Linked DNA regions of Macaca fascicularis. The protein of the gene in region 1 purifies or fractionates together with the protein of each later gene. This does not show direct contact. Links are inferred from orthologs where the notes say so. Each region holds a gene or a part of one and is shown in the gene's direction. Other genes may lie near its edges. The genes, in order: PDHA1, RAB7A, OGDH, DLAT and DLD.

Region 1 (3,430 bases):
CAATTCTCCTGCCTCAGCCTCCTAAGTAGCTGGGACTACAGTTAAGCGCCACCGTGCCCAGCCATTTTTTGTATTTTTAGTAGAGGCAGGGTTTCACCATCTTGTCCAGGATGGTCTCGATCTCTTGACCTCATGATCTGCCCAAAGTGCTGGGATTACAGGCGTGAGCCACCATGCCCGGCCACGTTTTATTTTTTAACTCTTGAATGCAGAAATGTTATTGCTTACTGGTTAAAATAGAACATAGTATTTATATATTACTTTACTGCTTCATTGAAAATATCGGGGGTGGGATAAACAGAGAGATGGGGTTGGAAGGAGAGTTTGTAGCAGCAGTGTAATTTCTGTGCCAGATTCTGACCAGGAGTTAAAATGCAGGGCATTGATATCTCCCCTCATGGATTTCTATGGTTCCTTTCTCGGTTGTCCTTAATGTTAGGTGCCCCTGGGCGCTGGGATTGCTCTAGCCTGTAAGTATAATGGAAAAGATGAGGTCTGCCTGACTTTATATGGCGATGGTGCTGCTAACCAGGTAATTATGTCTCTTAACTTTCCAATAACGGTCTTATTTTCAAAGTGTTTAATATTCACAGTTGAATTTCCAAAGCAGCAGCTTATTGCTTATTAGGTGAAATAGTAATTCCTATGGCTAGCTCAAATTTGGTTGACTTATGGCCAGATTAGAGAGTGACCTTTTAGCATTGTTTCACAAAAGACTTAGGGGGGCGCATTCCTGTGAAGGAGCTCACCTTTGCTCTATATCAGTGCTTGATAAAGGACCTCCCCTAACCTATTGCAAAATGATACAGACCCATTCTCTTGGATGTCCGCGCTGGCAGTGTCAAATTCGGGTAATAGCGTCTCAGTCCTAATTCAGTTTTTGTGCTTCTTTTTGTGCTTCTTTTGGTACCGAGTAATACCCAGTCTGTGGCCGGTACTCTGTGAAGCCCTGTTCTAGAGGCTGATTCTTAGGTGCTGGTTCACTCTGACTATCCAGTGGGCCCGATAGATTTCATACTGATCTTTTTTCCAGTGTGTTCCTTACTGCTAGCATGGCCCCAAAGAAACAAGTAGTAGTTGGTTTGTCATCTTTCTTAGTTGCAAGAGTATGATGCCTGCTGCTTCTTATCTGTCACCCACCCCGCTTTCCCTCACCATCCAAAGCTCGGTTTTTTGGTTGTTTTTTTTGTTTTGTTTTTGAGAGAGAGTCTTGCTCTGTTGCCCAGGCTGGAGCGCAGTGGCACGATCTCCACTCACTGCAAGCTCTGCCTCCCGGGTTCACGCCATTCTCCTGCCTCAGCCTCCCAAGTAGCTGGGACTACAGGCGCCTGCCACCATGCCCGGCTACTTTGTATTTTTAGTAGAGACGGGGTTTCACCGTGTTAGCCAGGACGGTCTTGATCTGCTGACCTCGTGATCCACCCTCCTCGGCCTCCCAAAGTGCTGGGATTACATGGCTGAGCCACCGTGCCCAGCCCAAAGCTCGGTTTTAGAAGAGGAGGCTTTCTGTGCTTTATGAAAGCTTTCTGTGCCAGGCAGAGCAGCAGCTGTTACAGATGATGGATCCTAGAGAAAGAAGCCAAATGAAACCCCTTTTCATAACTACTTCCAGGGCCAGATATTTGAAGCTTACAACATGGCAGCTTTGTGGAAATTACCTTGTATTTTCATCTGTGAGAATAATCGCTATGGAATGGGAACATCTGTTGAGAGAGCAGCAGCCAGCACTGATTACTACAAGAGAGGCGATTTCATTCCTGGGCTGAGAGTAAGGACACCTGTGGTGGGGCCGGGGCCAAGGCCAGGGGTATGTCCTTGTGCAGACCCTTGACAATCTTAGAAACATTGAAGAGTTTCGTTCTCAAACATAAGCAGGTGATGTGAAAGTAAAATGGTTTGGGGCAGCTGGATTCATGCTTCGCCCCTCCCGTTTATTAACAGGTGGATGGAATGGATATCTTGTGCGTCCGAGAGGCGACAAGGTTTGCTGCCGCCTATTGTAGATCTGGGAAGGTAAGACTCTAAAGGCCTCTGGGCTAATGACATTTATCTCTGGAAGTTCAAAGACTGCCTCCCGTGTGCCTGCTGAAGCTGTTAGTGGGTAGCTGATAATTGAGGTGCACAAGATGGAAGCAGAGTGAAGCAAGCAGGGCTCCTTTGGGTAGCTTGGTCTTGGTAGCTCACCTGCTGGGAAGCCCACATTTCTCTCATTTGGGGGAAGTCTGTCCTGGTGCTTCCTCTGCTTTCGCCTGTCTTCATCATGACAACTACACTGCCTTTTTGTTAGGTTAATTCTGTCCCTCCTCCCCACCCCCCATTAATCATGAGTCCCTTGAAGGAACAGATTGGGGATCCCCGTAGTGTCCAGCATAGAATGTCATGTATACAATAGGCATTTAATGTGTGTGTCTTACACAAACAGTATGGTTGAAGCTTGTAATCTTAGTCTTGCTCAGTCCTAAGGATCTTTCCCTTCAGTGTATGGCAGTGAGGGAGATGGTAACAGGGAGACTGGCCTAAAGAGGTTTCAGTTCCTTCAGCACTAGTATAGGCTTAGGAGGTTTGGGTGTTCTCCCTAAATTAGTGTTCCACAGCCCAGACACAAGGTTTCTGAAGTTGTCACTTCAGTGCCATACCATGTATGTTTGGGCAGTGATGCAAATGTCAGAAAGTGGGGAGACAGGGAAGTAAGGGTGGGATGTAGTAACATTAAATAAGAGCTAATGAGTAGAATGAACTAGAGCAGGACCAAGATGACAGCTTGGATACAATGGGCTGAGCAGTCTGTCAGGACCCTAAGGCTGGGAGTGCCAGGCCCTGAGTGATGGATATTGACCCCACCTCTCCCAATTCCTGAAAAGAATACATGCGGGCCAGCCCTGGCTGGAGACATGGTGATTTGTAGAATGTATGACTTCCCAAACACATAACCTTCACAATTCTGAGTTAGGTGTTACTGTTTTGCCCATTTTGCAGACAAGGAAACTGAGCCACAGAGCAGTTAAAGGTACATAGCTACTCTTATCATGGAGCCAGCTCCCCACTCGCCCGTTTTAACTACTGCACCAAACCAATCAAGGATCCTCAATGTTTCCCCATCCCTCAGTGTTCAGAGCCATCTCCTGGAAGTGGGCTAGTGTAGAATGAGCAAGCCACTTGGTGATAGACCCCAAGTGGTCATACTCCCAGCAGAGCCTCAGGGTTTGGGTAGCAGAGGTTGTTGGTGCCTGTCAACTTTGTTACACACTAGCAGGATCTGTGAAGTAGAAGTGGCTGCCAGCCCCACAACACACTACGAGAAAGGAGCATGAGATGGAAATCTGCCTAGCCAATAGCAGGAGGCTCTAGAACATGCTCAAAGCCTTTTTTTTTTTTTTTTTTTTTTTTTGAGACAGAGTCTCGCTCTGTCCCCCAGGCTGGAGTGCAGTGG
Region 2 (4,282 bases), on another chromosome or scaffold:
GGAAGGCTATTTCACTGAAAAAGTCACTTTAAAGTCAAGACCAGAGGAAAGTGAGCGAGTGGCCAAGCAGATACCTGGAGGAAGAGCTTTCCAGGTAGAGAGAAGTACAACTGCAAAAGTCTGATGTAGATGTGTGCCTTCTCCTTTCTTTTTTATTTATCTTGGAAGAGACAGTCTTGTTATGTTGCCCAAGCTGGTCTCGAACTCCTGGGCACATGCAAAGTGAAAGCAGAGAAAAGTAGACTTACCCCAGAAGCTGATGGTCCTGCAGTGTGCAAGGCCATTTCAGAATACACATAGAGAAAACAGGAGAATAGGTAGCGAGGGTTTTGCGGAAAGAGCCAATTTTAGCTGAAAAAGTAGGGGAAACCCCAGACATTGTGCCATCTCAGGGTTAGGACTGCTTGCCTAGATTTTGAGGTTTTTTTTTTTTTTTTTTTTTTCCCCAGACCCCTCAACTTCTGAGATCTCAATGGGAAGCTGCTGATCACCAGTTTTAGGTGTTTTTATCTATTGGGAGACTCTTTCCCTGGTTCTGACTGCAACCAATTATTATTTTAGAGAGATAGCTTAATCTGACCACCACGTCATGGTTGCCTCACATTGCTGGTGGGGGAGTGGCCCCACTCCTGCCCTGCTCAGGTCTAACTACTTACTTACTGTAACAATTGCAAGGTTTTTGGATGGAACAATTGAAAGAATGGAGTTTGCATGAACCAAATAAGAAAAGACTATTAGAGGGCATTGTTAAAGATGGAGACAAAAGTTCTGAGTGGATCCTGATGTGTTCAGATGGGGCTGGTGCTTGGGAGGCTGCTCTGTGCTTACAAGAAGAGTTCTACCAGGTCCATCTTTATCACATCTTCTTTAATACTAAGTTCAGAGAGGCTTTAGCTCATTTTCCATTTTCTCGTGCTGTCTCCTCTGCCAAAGTGTCTATTTCTCCTGTCTCTATTACTGAGTCACACAATTGCTGTAGTCATTTGCAGTCTACTAGAACGATAACACACATTGGCATCAGACAGACCTTGGTTCAAAACCCGGCTCCACCAGTTTCTGTGTTGAGCTAGACCAAGTGACCTGATATGTTCGGTCTCAGTTCCTTATTTGTAAAATGGTGATAATAATTTTTGGTTAGGTAGTTAAAGTAAGGATAAATGATGCCTTCCGAAGAAGGACACAATTGGAATGGCCAGTTTACCCCTTGACCTCTCTTCGGTGGCATTCTTTATTCTGGAGCAAGGAGGGATGGCTGAGGGAATCTGTCTGTGGGTCCAACATGGCGCCGTCCTGCTCCTTGTACAAGCCTCAAAGATGGGGACAACCGTTTGGGAGCAGACATGTTTGTAGCACGTGATCCAGGCTCTGTCCCAAGGCAGCCGGAACGTGACTCAAGGTTGAGGCGGGGCTCCTCCTCCGCACCCCGGCGTCGAGCGTCTCGTGACAGGTACTTCCGCTCGGGGCGGCGGCGGTGGCGGAAGTGGGAGCGGGCCTGGAGTCTTGGCCATAAAGCCTGAGGCGGCGGCAGCGGCGGAGTTGGCGGCTTGGAGAGCTCAGCAGAGTTCCCTGGAACCAGAACTTGGACCTCCCCTCTTCTGTCCTCCGTTGAGTCTCCTCCTCGGCGGGAGCCCTCGCGACGCGCCCGGCCCAGAGCCCCCAGCGCAGAGGCCGCGGTAAGCAGCGGGCCCAGCCCGGCCGGCGGCCTGGCCCCATCCCCCTCCTCAACTCCTCGGTCGCCAGGGCCTCGCGTCCTCCCTGTCCTCCTGGCAGGCTCCAGGCCCAGCCCTGGCCTCGCGGGCAAACTCGGCATCGCTCAGGCCCACGAAGCAGGCCAGGACCCCACCCGGGTTGGAGAGGTCGGAGGTCGTCGGGCGTGACCTCTGGCCGGGTTGCCGGCCCCGGCCGCCGGTCTCGGACGCTCTGTTTACTGTTGGCGTCGATCTCAGAGACCCAAGAGGGTTCATTGACTTGGACTGCCCTGCGCCGCGGCAGGACGCGCTAGGCGGTGGAGTTATTTAGCGTGGCGAGCAGGAGGGTGTCAGAGCCCACGCCGCCCGCCGCCGTGCCCACCTGGCGGGCATGGGTCACAGGCGCTGGGGGCCGAGCCGCGTTCCCATCCGGCTCTTCAGTTGAACAGCCTGACCCTGTTAGTGGGAGAGGTTCCCTGACGGCAACTGAGTCAAGGCGTGAGTCAGGTCACGTGCGCTGGGATCGCCTCAACACTTGTGTACATTGAGGCGCCTCTGGCGCTGGAAGACAGGGAGCTTTTTGTCCTAGGCATGTTACGGTAAATCCTGAGAGAAGTTTTTCAACTTAGTCGGGGAAAGATGGTAGTTGGATGTAGAGTTGTGTTTCCATTCGGACCGTGTTGGGGGCCTCTTTCTGCATTCATTTTACGCTTGATACCTAATGGGTCATAAGGGGAATATTGAGAATACTGACAGCAAATATTTGAGCGTTTGTTATATGCTAGGCAGCGTGGCAAGACCTTTTAACAGATCATTATGTTTAGTTCTTTGAACAACCCTCTAAAGTACCACTGTTGTGCCCACTTAACACAGTGGGAAATTGAACAGAGAGGCTAAACCATTTGACCAAGGTCACACAGCTAAGTTACGAAGCAAAGATGCAAGCCCAGGCAGTCAGACTCCAGAGCACTTTATTCAATTTGTAGGTTATACTGCTTTCACGTGCCCCTGAAGCGTGTGGTTTATCTTTTGCCACCTGGTATCTGTACCTCACTGCCTTCCACCACCTCCTTTCTTTCTGTTGATGTCGTTTGAAAGTCTTTCTGGTAGCATCAGTTCTCTCTTAAAGCCATAAGAAATGCCGTTTGCGGCTTATCACACATATTGTAGTGTAGTTGAATTAGGAGCTCTTGAATACTGGCGGGGTACTTAACTGAGGTTTGAAAAATTTTGCAGGTAGGCCTGGCAAAGCTGCCTAGCGAACCTTTCTTACAACCTTAGTTGATGGCTGTCCAGCCAGTTGGTTCTTCCCTATTCAAAATACTGCATCTTTGGTTTCCTAAAGAACAGGCTCTTGTCTCTTTCTTGTGACTTAAGCAGCTGATGAGGCACATGATTTCTCATCCATGGATTAATAAAGTCTCCTCTTAGTGTGTTTCTTTCTTCAAACCTGGGAAGGTTTGTTCAGATTTGGATTTAAGAACTGGAAGGTGAGTTAGGAGTGCTTCTCCTGAAGGGACTGGCTAAGTTAAAGCTTAGCGTTCACAATCCTGTTGTATTCAAATTTGTCTTTTTTATTTTTTTTTTAACTTTGCTACCCAGCCTAAAATATTTAAGTGAGTAATAAGTACTGTAGCTTTATATAATGTTTGAGTTTAGAGGAGAGTAATGATAGGCACCTTTTTATTCATTCATGAAGTATTTTGAGTATCCATTGAGTATCAGCAATGTATCAGGCGTTGTGGGATGTTGACTTAGGGAGATAGGCATGGTTCCTGTCCTCAGGGAATTTTTAAAAGGTGAATGATCTTGGCCAGAAATTCTATTGTGGAATGATTTGGTGGTAGAACTTGAGGCTTTTTGGAAAGAGTTATTTCTCATTTCTGCTGATGAATCCGTAGTAATCCAAAGGATGGTGTTCTGGCTAACTTTAAGGCTTTGTTAATTTTAACAACAGCATTTGTATGCTCTTCAGAGAGTGTAGAAGATAATATTACAGTTTCTAATTTATCACATCTTTTAAAGAGTAACCTTCAACACTCAACTTGTTTCTCCTTTTGCTCTGGTGGCATTTGTTTTATTTTATTTATTTTTTGACACGGAGTTTCTCTCTTGTTGCCCAGGCTGGAGTGCAATAGCGCGATCTCAGCTCACTGCAACCTCTGCCTCCCAGGTTCAAGCCATTCTCCTGCCTCAGCCTCCCGAGTGGCTGGGATTACAGGCATGTGCCACCATGCCCGGCTAATTTTGTATTTTTAATAGAGACAGGGTTTCTCCATGTTGGTCAGGCTGGTCTCGAACTCCCTACCTCAGGTGATCTGCCTGCCTTGGCCTCCCAAAGTACTGGGATTACAGGCATGAGCCACTGCGTCCGGCCGACTCTAGTGGCATTTTTTTGGTTCACTCGAGAGGTAGTCCATGTCACTACCATTACCTTGCACTGCAGTGTCTTTGAGCAAAGGTACATTTGGACATTTGGCATACTGGATTTTTTTCTTCAGCTGGCAAGAAAGTTTAATGTAGCACTGATATTGTGTCGGCCATAGTTTCAGTACCATTCTACATAGAAAAGCTGTGCTACCCTATCTCCCACA
Region 3 (3,513 bases), on another chromosome or scaffold:
TTTTGGGGCACATACTCAGAGTAGCCAGGCGGCAAGTGCACGCCATGCCGGGCCTCGGCCCCACCTTCTGGTCCCTGTGCCGGCTGTGCCAGGTGCCCTCTTGCTAGGCTACATGTTCCTTGCAGATCGGCTTCACCACCGACCCTCGGATGGCCCGCTCCTCCCCCTACCCCACCGATGTGGCCCGAGTGGTGAATGCTCCTATTTTCCACGTGAACTCAGATGACCCCGAGGCTGTCATGTACGTGTGCAAAGTGGCGGCCGAGTGGAGGAGCACCTTCCACAAGGACGTGGTCGTCGATTTGGTGAGTGACTCCAGGGACAGCACGTCCTGGGCAGATCATCTGACCCACCCCTGTTGCCCTCGGCACCCTTGTGTCCCAAGGAGAGGAGCTTGTTTAGATGAGTCACCTCAGGGCTCTCTACTGCCAGGCCTCATGCAGGTTCCTTTGAGCTCCAAATTGTTCAGGCCTGTGAGCACCAAGGAATGCTTCCCAGGCAGGAGCTGTGGTGGTGAGGAGGACCATTCCTCACTGATAGAGCAGCTGTACTGTGTAGGAGAGATACACAGAATCCTAATTCTAGAGAAGGTAAATTCCAGGGCAGGTGTGAGGCGTGAAGAACATGACCATCACCTAGGAGAGATGGGGTAGGTTCCCCAACCGCACTTCTTCCCAAGGGGCCACCCCTTGTCTCTGACATCCTCTCACTGCTCTGAGCAGGTGTGTTACCGGCGCAACGGCCACAACGAGATGGATGAGCCCATGTTCACGCAGCCGCTCATGTACAAGCAGATCCGCAAGCAGAAGCCCGTGTTACAGAAGTACGCCGAGCTGCTGGTGTCGCAGGGTGTGGTCAACCAGCCCGAGTATGAGGTATGTCCCTGCGGCTCTGTCCCAGTGCGCCTTTCCAGAGCCGGGGATGACTAGAAAAGGTGGGCCACAGGGCCAGTTCTCACTGTTGCAAGTTATGAGGATACACGTGAGAGGATGTGAAATATTTACAACTACAGCATTTCAATGCATAACTTTTTGGAGAATCTGGGCCACTGAGATGCTTTGTAAAGGAAGTGGGCCTTAAACAGTGTTTTGGGGAAGAGAAGGGGATGTTTTCAGGTTGAGGTAGTAGTGGCCCAGTAGGTTTTCTCAGATTTCACAGATCGTGCAGGGGTGGGAGGTAGGTGGTGGATCCAGCTTAGTAAGGGGCCTCTTGTAATCTGGATAGTAAGTGCTGGTTTGTTGTGAGTGGGAAGGCCAAGCAGCTGCCCTAGAGAGGGAGAGGATGGGTGTGAGAAGCTATGTCTGAGCATGGGAACAGGACAGATCCCAGGTCAGAACAACCTGATAACCTGTAGCCTATCCTGGAGACAGAGCTTTGTGGCCCAAACCTCCTTGGGACTGTGCTGGGAACCATGAGAGCTCAACCAGTTCTTTTTTTTTTTTTTTTTTTGAGACAGAGTCTAGCCTTGTCACCCATGCTGGAGTGCAGTGGTGTGATCTCAGCTCACTGCAACCTCCACCTCCTTGGTTCAAGCAATTTTCATGCCTCAGCATCCCAAGTAGCTGGGATTACAGGTGCAAACCACCTCACCCAGCTAGTTTGTGTATTTTTAGTAGAAACAGGGTTTCCCCACGTTGGCCAGGCTGGTCTCGAACTCCTGACCTCAAGTGATCCACCTGTCTTGGCCTCCCAAAGTGCTGGGATTATAGGTATGAGCCACTGCGCCTGACCTGGACCAGTTCTTAAGAAAAAATGTGGTGGGCTGGGCGTGGTGGCTCACGCCTGTAATTGCAGCACTTTGGGAGGCTGAGGCAGGTGGATCACGAGGTCAAGAGATCAAGACCATCCTGGCCAACATGGTGAAACCCCATCTTTACTAAAAATGCAAAAATGAGCTGGGCATGGTGGCATGCACTTGTAGTCCCAGCTACTTGGGAGGCTGAGGCAGGAGAATCGCTTGAACCCGGGAGGTGGAGGTTGCAGTGAAGCAAGATCGTGCCACTGCGCTCCAGCCTGGTGACAGAGCAAGACTCCGTCACCAAAAAAAAGACAAAAAAAATGTGAAGGGTTAGGGGTTCAAACTCTGAGCAGAATCTCTACCCAGCAAATGTGAGGAAGAAACTTCTGGGATGAAAAGAATAAAATCTTAGACAGGTGTTATGCCTATTGAGAAGGAGCAGGCCCAGAGGCTGAGATGTTTCGTACCCACGAAGTGTGGGGGTATGGGTGGGCATGCATGGGAGTTGTGCCAGGGTATGGTTGGGCTTGCATGGTGGCTGTCAGAAAGTGTGGGGGTACGGGTGGGCGTGTGCAGTAGTCATGCCCTGTGCCAGTCACTGCTGTGTTGTGTCCAACCCTGCAGGAGGAAATTTCCAAGTATGATAAGATCTGTGAGGAAGCTTTTGCCAGATCTAAAGATGAGAAGATCTTGCACATTAAGCACTGGCTGGACTCTCCTTGGCCTGGTGAGTGAAGAACCAGTGCCACAAATAAGCTCCTTTGAGGATCTGATGTAACGAGGCATCCTCCTCCCGGAAAACATTCATGCTTTCCACTTTGTACCCACAGTGCACAGTTGTGTGCACCATTTCAGCCAAACCCCTGCAGACCCTGGACCCAGACCCCTGCACTCATGTTTTCTGGGGAACACAGTGTGAGCTACATTGTCTCTCACCCTGCTTCTCCCCCACATCATGTGTCTGCCATGGTGTGGTCCCTGGAAAAGTAGAGCAGATGTCATGCCTCAGTTGTTCTTCCTCTCCTAGGCTTCTTCACCCTGGACGGGCAGCCCAGGAGCATGTCCTGCCCCTCCACGGGTCTGACGGAGGATATTCTGACACACATCGGGAACGTGGCTAGCTCTGTGCCTGTGGAAAACTTTACTATTCATGGAGGTAACAAGCTCTGTGCTGACCTGTGGAAATGTTGGGCCCAGACTGTCTAGTACTGTGACCTTGACCCCCATCATGTGTCCTACAGAGACTCCCTTCCTGCCCTGCTCCAAGCCTCTGGGGTGGTTGGATGGAGCCACCTCTCTCACTCCCTGCCCTTAGCACCATCCTACACTTCCTCAGTGGTAAAGGAGACTGAGGTCACAGCTTTTCCAGCATGTCAGGAACCCAGAAACTATGAGTGAAGAAGGCTCCACTCTTGCCATGGGCACACTGAGAAGCAAGGCAGACATGTGCAGGCAGGGCCTGCAGCAGCTGGTGAGAGCTGTCTCTCTGCAGGGCTGAGCCGGATCTTGAAGACTCGTGGGGAAATGGTGAAGAACCGGACTGTGGACTGGGCTCTGGCAGAGTACATGGCGTTTGGCTCGCTCCTGAAGGAGGGTATCCACATCCGACTGAGCGGCCAGGACGTGGAGCGGGGCACATTCAGGTAACGTTCTGGGCAGTTTTGTTTGCCCTCCAAAGAGTAGGAAATGCAAAGGGAGGGGTTCTGGTGTTTCTTTTTCAGAAGGCAGTTACTGAGTCCCATTGCTGTCAGGCTGAAAACCTCTCCCTCATTTGC
Region 4 (4,045 bases), on another chromosome or scaffold:
TTTGGGCTCAAGCGATTCCCCAACCTCAGCCTCTCAAGTATTGCTGGGACTACAGGCATGCACCACCGCTCCTGGCTAAAATCTTGTTTTAAACAATTTTTTCCTCCAACTTCTTCTTGTGTTCTTGGTGTTCTCTAACCATCTGTACACTGGGGAGGCGGTGATACACAGCATATGCTTCCTCCTTATTTAATGTCACCTTCAGTTCAGAAACGATATGTTTCCTATTTAAAAGACAACTTTACAAGAGAAGCGTACCTAACAAAACGTCTAGGTGACTTTTTGTTCATTGATTCCAAAGACACAATCAGCCCCCGCTATTTAGTGGATACTAAGCTCTGAGGCTACATGGAAGAACCACGCAGGCACTCTTCCTGCCTTCAACAGCTTACAGTTAAGTTTAGGTAGCAAACATTTGAAACATAACGAAGCTTTTGGTTACTTAAAAGAATTCTATGGTGTTAGGGGGTAACACAAACCTGTTTTGTAAACCTGTATCTTTATACAGGGAATATGCTTAATCTTGCTACAGTATACAGGAATGTGGGAATGTTTCTTCCTCTGGGCTGCCTTTCGTACCACCTGGCTGGATGGAACACCTGTTCACTCCACTTTCCACTTGGGCTACAAACCTGAAATGAAATCTTTGCAACCAGTACAGCCTGCGCGGGGCGGGGCCCAGTCCTTCCCCCTTCGGATGCGCAGAAGCAGAGGTCACCACGCTGGACCCCTCGATTTCCTCGCGGGCGGTTCCCGGCTCCTTCACCACCCCAGCGCTTCAAGACCCCCGCCCTTTGGCCTGAGGCTCCCACTGCCCTAGCCAGTTCCCGGGCTCACTTCCAGCTTTTCCAGAAAGCTTGGCCACGCCCCTCGGCCCAGACTCTCAGGCCACTCGGCCGCAATTAACCCTCGTCTCGGTGCCTTTTTAGGCCCCTCCCTCTCAGTCGTGCCCTTCCCGTGTCTTAGGCCCCGTCTCACCCTTTCGGATGCCTCCCCTAGGACCCTACCACTTTCCACCCCTTTCCGTCTGTTATTTGTCCCCAACTTGCGCCCGCACAGGCCCCTCTGGAACGCCCCTGCCGCGTGAGTGCCCCTCGTCCCCGCTCAGGGGAGGAAAAGCCTGCGTGCCGCGCATTTCTGGCCTGGGGAGCGGGTGGAGTAAACCTGCGGGAACCATTTTACGACAACGTGCGGCTGTGCGGCGTGGCTGACGGCAAAGCCGCGCTGCTGTTGGAGAGGTCACTCCGGAGACGGCGTTGGTGTTGGGGTGTGGGGGGTTGGTGGCACTATGTGGCGCGTCTGTGCGCGACGGGCCCAGAATGTAGCCCCATGGGCGGGACTCGAGGCTCGGTGGACGGCCTTGCAGGAGGTACCCGGAACTCCACGAGTGTCCTCGCGAATTGGCCCGGCTCCGGCTCGTCGCAACAGCGCGACTACAGGGTATGGAGGGGTCCGGGCACTGTGCGGCTGGACCCCCAGCTCTGGGGCCACGCCGCGGAACCGCCTACTGCTGCAGCTTTTGGGGTCGCCCGGCCGCCGCTGTTACAGTCTTCCCCCGCATCAGAAGGTGAGCCCTAGACCCGCCCTTCTCGGATCTCCGTTGTCCTTCAGAGCTGACTGGATGCCTGCAGGATCCTCCTTGAGAGGCCTCATTGATCCTCCAACCATTCCCAGTATCTGCTTTCGTCCTTTGTCCAGTAGTCAGCTTTGGTTCCTTAGCTTCCCTCTCATGATCTATTCCGTTGAAACTATTCCGTTGAAAGGGGAACTTCAAGACTGGGGCTGTATGCAATTATCTGCCGAGGTTCATGCTTTGTGAGACCCGTAGGACTGTGGAGCAGAAAGCCTGTCACTGGAAATTACTAACTTCTCATGGGCAGAAACTGCCTTGGTATCCCTAGTTCCCAGTGTGTAATGGAACTGGATACACTTTGCATGAAATTGAATTGAATGAAATCTTAAGCCAGACTGAGAGTTAGGTAGCCCTTTAAAAATTTAATGTTTCTTCTTTTTCTCTTCCAGGTTCCATTGCCTTCTCTTTCCCCCACAATGCAGGCAGGCACTATAGCCCGTTGGGAAAAAAAAGAGGGGGACAAAATCAACGAAGGTGACCTAATTGCAGAAGTAAGTTGTTTTAAAATAACGGAGATGAGTTCGAAGAGACTGGCTTTGCCGAATTGACTGAACATTGACTTTCTGGATGTGTAGTTACCCCTTTGTTTAAGAAACTGAAGTGTTTTTCACAACTTGATGTTAGACAAGATTGGTTGGATAAGTTGCCAGCAGCTGGCCAAACTGATACTTAGCCAACGCGTTTCTAAAGTAATTTCTTCTTTCAAATCTGTCGTAGTGGCCTTATCGTCACATGAACTGTATCATTCTAGACACAGAGGCCAAGCTGGCCAACATGGTGAAACCCCGTCTCTGCTAAAAATACAAAAATCTGCTGGGCATGGCGGCCTCTGCCTGTAATCCTAGCTACTCGGTAGACTGAGGCAGGAGAATCGCTTGAACGTGGGAAGGGGAGGTTGCAGTGAGCCGAGATTGCACCACTGCACTGCAGCCTTGGCGACAGAGTGAGACTCTGTCTCAAGAAAAAAAAAATTCTAGACACAAGCTAATAAACTACATACCGACAGTATAAAGCTGAGCTGCTGCTTTTTGTGTTAAAAGGTTGAAACTGATAAAGCCACTGTTGGATTTGAGAGCCTGGAGGAGTGTTATATGGCAAAGATACTTGTTGCTGAAGGTACCAGGGATGTTCCCATTGGAGCGATCATCTGTATCACAGTTGGCAAGTGAGTAGTGCACTCATAATTTATGGAACTTCATTGCTTGGTGGAGTATTTTACCCAGAATTGAGAATTAGGAGTTAAAGACTATTTTTTAAGACTACTTTTGTGAAAGTTGAATCTGCCCATTATATTTATGCATTCTTTCTCTTCCTTAGGCCTGAAGATATTGAGGCTTTTAAAAATTATACATTGGATTCCTCGCCAGCACCTACCCCACAGGCGGCCCCAGCACCAACCCCTGCTGCCACTGCTTCGCCACCTATACCTTCTGCTCAGGCTCCTGGTAGCTCATATCCCCCTCACATGCAGGTGAGGCTCAGCCTTTGAGTGTTTGCTCTAGGTGATTTATTACTTACTTTTTTTCATAGATGGCTACTACATCTTGGAAACTGACTTTAAATGTGGTTAGTTAGGTCTTGTCATTTGGGAGTATATAGAAATTTAAACATGAAGATTGACAACTTTTCTTCCTGGTTGTTCTTTCCAGTTATAAGAACTTGAACAGTTCCTGTAACCTTTCTCAGCCTCAGTGTAGTACACAGGGTAATTCGTGGCACTTTTCATTCAAGAACATTACATTACAGATTTTGAGGATGATTTTTACTAACATCTATTCCCTGTATAATTAGAGTTTATAGTAGGCTGTGTTAGTCTGTTTTACTCTGGCATAAAGAAATACTTAGGGCTGGGTAATTTGTAAAGAAAAAAAGGTTTATTTGGCTCATGGTTCTGCAGGCTGTACAAGAAGCACGGCGCCAGCATCTGTTTCTCTTGTGGCCTCAGGAAGCTTACAATCATGGTGGAAGGTGGAAGGGAAAGGGGAAGGGTGGTGTGTCACATAATGAGAGAGGGTGCAAGAGACAGAGGGGAGTGGGTACCAGGCTCTTCATAGCAATCAGATTTCCCCTTAACTCATTACCATGGGGCATGCACCAAGCCATTCATGAGGGATCCTCCTCCAACACCCAGACACCTCCCACCAGACCCCATCTCTAACACTGGGGATCATATTTTTTTTTCCACCTAGAAAAAAACTTTATTTACACAATCTTGGATTCTGAATTTCCGATACTTCCAGGGTCTCTTGATCAAATGGGGCCGCAGCAGGTAGGGAAGCAAACACAGGGGCCAGTCCAGATTATCTTACTGAAGAACACCACCAAGAAGAAGGGAAGGCCTAATTCAGTTTTGGTCTGGACTACATCTCCTCGCACTTTGAGATCACCACAGGTAGCTTGGGCTTATTGTTA
Region 5 (4,028 bases), on another chromosome or scaffold:
TGCCAGCAATGCCGTCTCTATAACAAACACTAAATATTACTCATATCTAAACCTGAACAAAAATAGGCAGTAATTTCTAACCAGTGTTTAGACCAGCACAAGGCCTGGGTGGTAGACTTTCAATAAATGTAGAATTAAGTTTATTCACACTATTTAGAGTTATGGAAGGCAAGAATCAGACCTTAGACTTTCATGCTCAATCTTGAAGACAGTGTTTTTCTTTTTTTTTTTTTTTTTTTTTGAGACGGAGTCTCGCTCTGTCACCCAGGCTGGAGTGCAGTGGCCGGATCTCAGCTCACTGCAAGCTCCGCCTCCCGGGTTCACGCCATTCTCCGGCCTCAGCCTCCCGAGTAGCTGGGACTACAGGTGCCCGCCACCTCGCCCGGCTAGTTTTTTTTGTATTTCTTAATAGAGACGGGGTTTCACCGTGTTAGCCAGGATGGTCTGGATCTCCTGACCTCGTGATCCACCCGTCTCGGCCTCCCAAAGCGCTGGGATTACAGGCTTGAGCCACCGCGCCCGGCCGAAGAGAGTGTTTTTCAACCCTTTCAACCGATTATCTCTCAAAACCTAAAATCTCATCCACCATCCCACTCTGTTTTACCGGGCAGATGTGTTTCTCAACCAAAGAAATAGAAGATAGTGTGTTTTCTACCTATTGTCAGTTAGCTAATTAGAGCAGGATGCTGGCGATGCCAAAATCTGTAGCCCCATCCCTTATATGGCACTTGAGGGGAGCGAGTATAAAGCAGTAGTTAAGACCAAAGGTTTTGGCCTTGGGGCTGCAGTTATCTCTCCTTTTCAAGACCTTGGGGTCAATGTTTAACCTCTCTGGGCCTCATCCAAGAAATGGAAATACTAGCAATACTCCATATGGTTGTTGCAAGGATGAAATCTCTGTAGAAAGTGCGGAGGAATGCCTAGCACAACCAAGAGCTTGTCAAACTTGTCACGCTTTACTGTCTGTAGCGTGCATTAGGCAAACGATAGTTTTATTTGTTTATTTCATCTTCCAAGTATAAGAATACATTGTAGCTCGACATTTTGACACCGCCCCTAAGTCTTTCCCACCACCACCCCCGCTGCGACAAAGCACTACGCTCCTTACGACAGCGTACGACGCCTAGCCTGACAGGAACACCTCTTACGGTAGAACCGCGCGGGCCAATCGCGCGGCTCCCGGGCGAAAACGTAACTGCGCCTGTGCATGCGCAGGGCGGGGAGACCTTGGTGAGGCGGCGGAGGCGCCCAGCGGAGGTGAAAGCATTGGCGGAAGGGAAGATACAGCGGAAGAATGCAGAGCTGGAGTCGTGTGTACTGCTCCTTGGCCAAGGTGAGGGCCGAGTAGGTGGGGTCGTGCTGAGCCAGAGGCACGGAAGGTCCCGCTCTGTGGGTCCGGGACGCGGCCTAAGCCCGTTGGCCTGGCGGAGCCCAGGCGCCTGTCCCTCACCACCCCTGGCCCCGCCTCTGCACCGGCTCAGCCCGGCCCTAGGCTCCGAGGTAGCAGCTTCTCCTGCGGCGGCAGCAGGCGAGGGACGGGCCTGGGCCCAGGCTGTGGCGAGTCCTTTCAGGTTGTGTGACGGCCGGCGGTTACACATGCCACACCCCCAAGCCTGGGCCGAGGGCCATCCCGGTCACACAGAGGCCTCTACCTTGGAGGAAGTGTAAGCCACCCACGTCCCGTATAGTCTGGCTCTTTATACCCTCTGCCTTTTTCTCATCCTAATTCTGACCCCTGAGTGGCCTCATTTTATGCAGTGGGCAGGTAACCCTGGGGTCACTTCTTGAATGGTTCAGACCCAGTCAGCTCCAACAGAAAGCCCTCGGAATTCCCCTAAGGTCTTGTCAGTGTTGGCAGCTTTCAGCTGGTGTTCATTGCCATCTCTCAGGTCTTTCTGGATATTTAAATCTTTAATTGCAGTAGGTTATCAGAACAACTTTCCTTTTTAACCTGCCTGCCAGACACAGCCAAATTGTGTGTATGTGAGACCGTGGCCGGGTACTATATTGGTGGAGACCTCAAAAATAATATAGCAATCAAACCCCTTTGTTTCAGAGATGAGGAACCTGCGTTCCCAAAAATTAATGTAACATTCTATAAGTCATGCTTTTAGGGAGCGGCGGAGGTGGGACTAAAACTCTAAGATTGACAATCGGCTGCTCTTTGGGTTTGCTGTCCTGACCTCAAGTGTTAAGAGTTGCCTTGGAGTAGTTTTGTCACTGCTGCCCATTTTCCTACTGTGATAGAAGCAGGGACTGTTTGCTTTCTTTCTTTCTGCCTCATTGCCCTTAGGAAATGGTAGCCATCCATATATAGAGATTAGGGAGATGATGAGTTTTATCAAACTGTCGTAGCTCCAGAACGTAAGTACACTACTTTGCATTTTCCTAAGTTACCTTGTCTAATTTGCTATTCCTAGTTGATGGCTCAGGAACATCTTCATAGATGGTTCTAAGTAAATATGGACTATATATACATGCTGGCTTAAAGTTAGGAAACAAAAATTACAGGTAAAAGGATTATCATGTATAGATTATTCAAGTATTTAAGTTAGAACTTCCAGAGCTTTATTCATTTATTTATTTTGAGACGGAGTCTCACTCTGACGTCCAGGCTAGAGTGCAGTGGTGCGATCTCGGCTTACTGCATCCTCCGCCTCCCGGGTTCAAGCGATTCTCCTGCCTCAGCCTCCCGAGTAGCTGGGATTACAGGCGCCCGCCTCTATACCTGGCAAATTCTCTTGTATTTTTAGTAGAGACGGGGCTTCACCATGTTGGCCAGGCTGGTCTGGAACTCCTGACCTCAGGTGATCCGCCCACTTCAGCCTCCCAAAGTGTTGAGATTACAGGCGTGAGCCACCACGGCTGGCTCAGAGCTTTATGACATTAAAATGATCCCTGGAACTAATAATTAGCCATGTTTTCTGAAAATTGAATAAAAATACCATTGAATACATTTTTAAAATTAAGTATGAGATGGTTTGTTGACTATTCATAATAAAAAGATGGGTGTGGCAAGCTGAGACTGAAAAGTTCAAATGATTAGTTATCGTCAAAGAGTTATCGTCAAAGAGGGAAAATTGATCTGTAACTTCTGTGTGGCAATGGAAGAAGATACACTAATAATCCTTGCTTGATACATTTGCCAAAAATTGTTCTGTTTTCATCAGCCTTAAGTAGTTCTATGTTTTGAATTCATATCTTACATAGTAGGAACATTTTCTTTTTCTAGAGGGGCCATTTCAATCGAATATCTCATGGCCTACAGGGACTTTCTGCAGTGCCTCTGAGAACTTACGCAGATCAGCTGAGTAAGTACTTAAGTAAAACATTTTTTTCATCACGTTAGTTGACAGTTCATTTTTGTTTCTATGTAAAAGTAAGTGAATATTGGAATAACTTATGTTAAGTGTCTTATAGTTCATTTGTTTATGTATTTATTCGTTTGAATGTGTGTTGAGCTAGTGTGTTCCAGGCGGTGAACAAGGTAAAACCCTGCTCTTGTGAAACTTGTAATTTGGTGATAAAAGACAGACAATATATAAGTAACGGATAAATATTTTGGGAAGTAACTGACAATTAAAGCAGGTGATAGGGAGAAAGAGAGATAATTTTAGATACAGTGTCAGGAAAGGCCTTTTTGAGGAGATGATGTCTGGGCTGGATCCTTGCTTTACAGCAAGCCAATATCACCTATGCAACGAACCCCCCTCACAAAAAAAACTTTTCCTCTTCACAACAATTCTCCTGCAAATCACCTTAATTCTGACATTCATGACCACAGAACTAATTATATTCTACATTCTATTTGAAACCACCCTTATCCCCACCCTAATTATCATTACTAAATGAGGTAGCCAAGCAAAACGCCTTAACGCAAGCACATACTTTCTATTCTACACACTAACTGGCTCTCTACCCCTACTCATCATACTAAGTCACACCTACAACAACACAGGCTCATTAAACATCACACTACTAACACTCACAGACCAAAAACTAACAACCACCTGGTCCCACAACTTTAC

Evidence for each region.
Region 2: the proteins of PDHA1 (region 1) and RAB7A fractionate together in Homo sapiens (co-fractionation; 3 studies listed by BioGRID, with this or other methods). This does not show direct contact. The link is inferred for Macaca fascicularis from reciprocal best matches to the Homo sapiens genes PDHA1 and RAB7A.
Region 3: the proteins of PDHA1 (region 1) and OGDH fractionate together in Homo sapiens (co-fractionation; 3 studies listed by BioGRID). This does not show direct contact. The link is inferred for Macaca fascicularis from reciprocal best matches to the Homo sapiens genes PDHA1 and OGDH.
Region 4: the proteins of PDHA1 (region 1) and DLAT fractionate together in Homo sapiens (co-fractionation; 3 studies listed by BioGRID). This does not show direct contact. The link is inferred for Macaca fascicularis from reciprocal best matches to the Homo sapiens genes PDHA1 and DLAT.
Region 5: the proteins of PDHA1 (region 1) and DLD purify together in Homo sapiens (affinity purification with mass spectrometry; 4 studies listed by BioGRID and IntAct, counting the BioPlex papers as one, with this or other methods). This does not show direct contact. The link is inferred for Macaca fascicularis from reciprocal best matches to the Homo sapiens genes PDHA1 and DLD.

Annotation. Positions count from the first base shown.
Region 1 is NC_088395.1:19,221,779-19,225,208, forward strand, and holds part of PDHA1 (pyruvate dehydrogenase E1 component subunit alpha, somatic form, mitochondrial), read left to right. Parts: intron 1-439; coding exon 440-532; intron 533-1,612; coding exon 1,613-1,768; intron 1,769-1,941; coding exon 1,942-2,013; intron 2,014-3,430. UniProt on the Homo sapiens protein: The pyruvate dehydrogenase complex catalyzes the overall conversion of pyruvate to acetyl-CoA and CO(2), and thereby links the glycolytic pathway to the tricarboxylic cycle.
Region 2 is NC_088376.1:154,694,903-154,699,184, reverse strand, and holds the start of RAB7A (ras-related protein Rab-7a), read left to right. Parts: upstream 1-1,470; 5' UTR 1,471-1,673; intron 1,674-4,282.
Region 3 is NC_088377.1:85,652,842-85,656,354, reverse strand, and holds part of OGDH (2-oxoglutarate dehydrogenase complex component E1), read left to right. Parts: intron 1-125; coding exon 126-305; intron 306-722; coding exon 723-875; intron 876-2,362; coding exon 2,363-2,465; intron 2,466-2,765; coding exon 2,766-2,894; intron 2,895-3,230; coding exon 3,231-3,381; intron 3,382-3,513. UniProt on the Homo sapiens protein: 2-oxoglutarate dehydrogenase (E1o) component of the 2-oxoglutarate dehydrogenase complex (OGDHC). Participates in the first step, rate limiting for the overall conversion of 2-oxoglutarate to succinyl-CoA and CO(2) catalyzed by the whole OGDHC.
Region 4 is NC_088388.1:110,956,279-110,960,323, forward strand, and holds the start of DLAT (dihydrolipoyllysine-residue acetyltransferase component of pyruvate dehydrogenase complex, mitochondrial), read left to right. Parts: upstream 1-1,241; 5' UTR 1,242-1,288; coding exon 1,289-1,567; intron 1,568-2,022; coding exon 2,023-2,124; intron 2,125-2,673; coding exon 2,674-2,798; intron 2,799-2,950; coding exon 2,951-3,104; intron 3,105-3,993; exon of another isoform or gene 3,994-4,045.
Region 5 is NC_088377.1:149,413,439-149,417,466, forward strand, and holds the start of DLD (dihydrolipoyl dehydrogenase, mitochondrial), read left to right. Parts: upstream 1-1,218; 5' UTR 1,219-1,294; coding exon 1,295-1,333; intron 1,334-3,232; coding exon 3,233-3,311; intron 3,312-4,028. UniProt on the Homo sapiens protein: Lipoamide dehydrogenase is a component of the glycine cleavage system as well as an E3 component of three alpha-ketoacid dehydrogenase complexes (pyruvate-, alpha-ketoglutarate-, and branched-chain amino acid-dehydrogenase complex).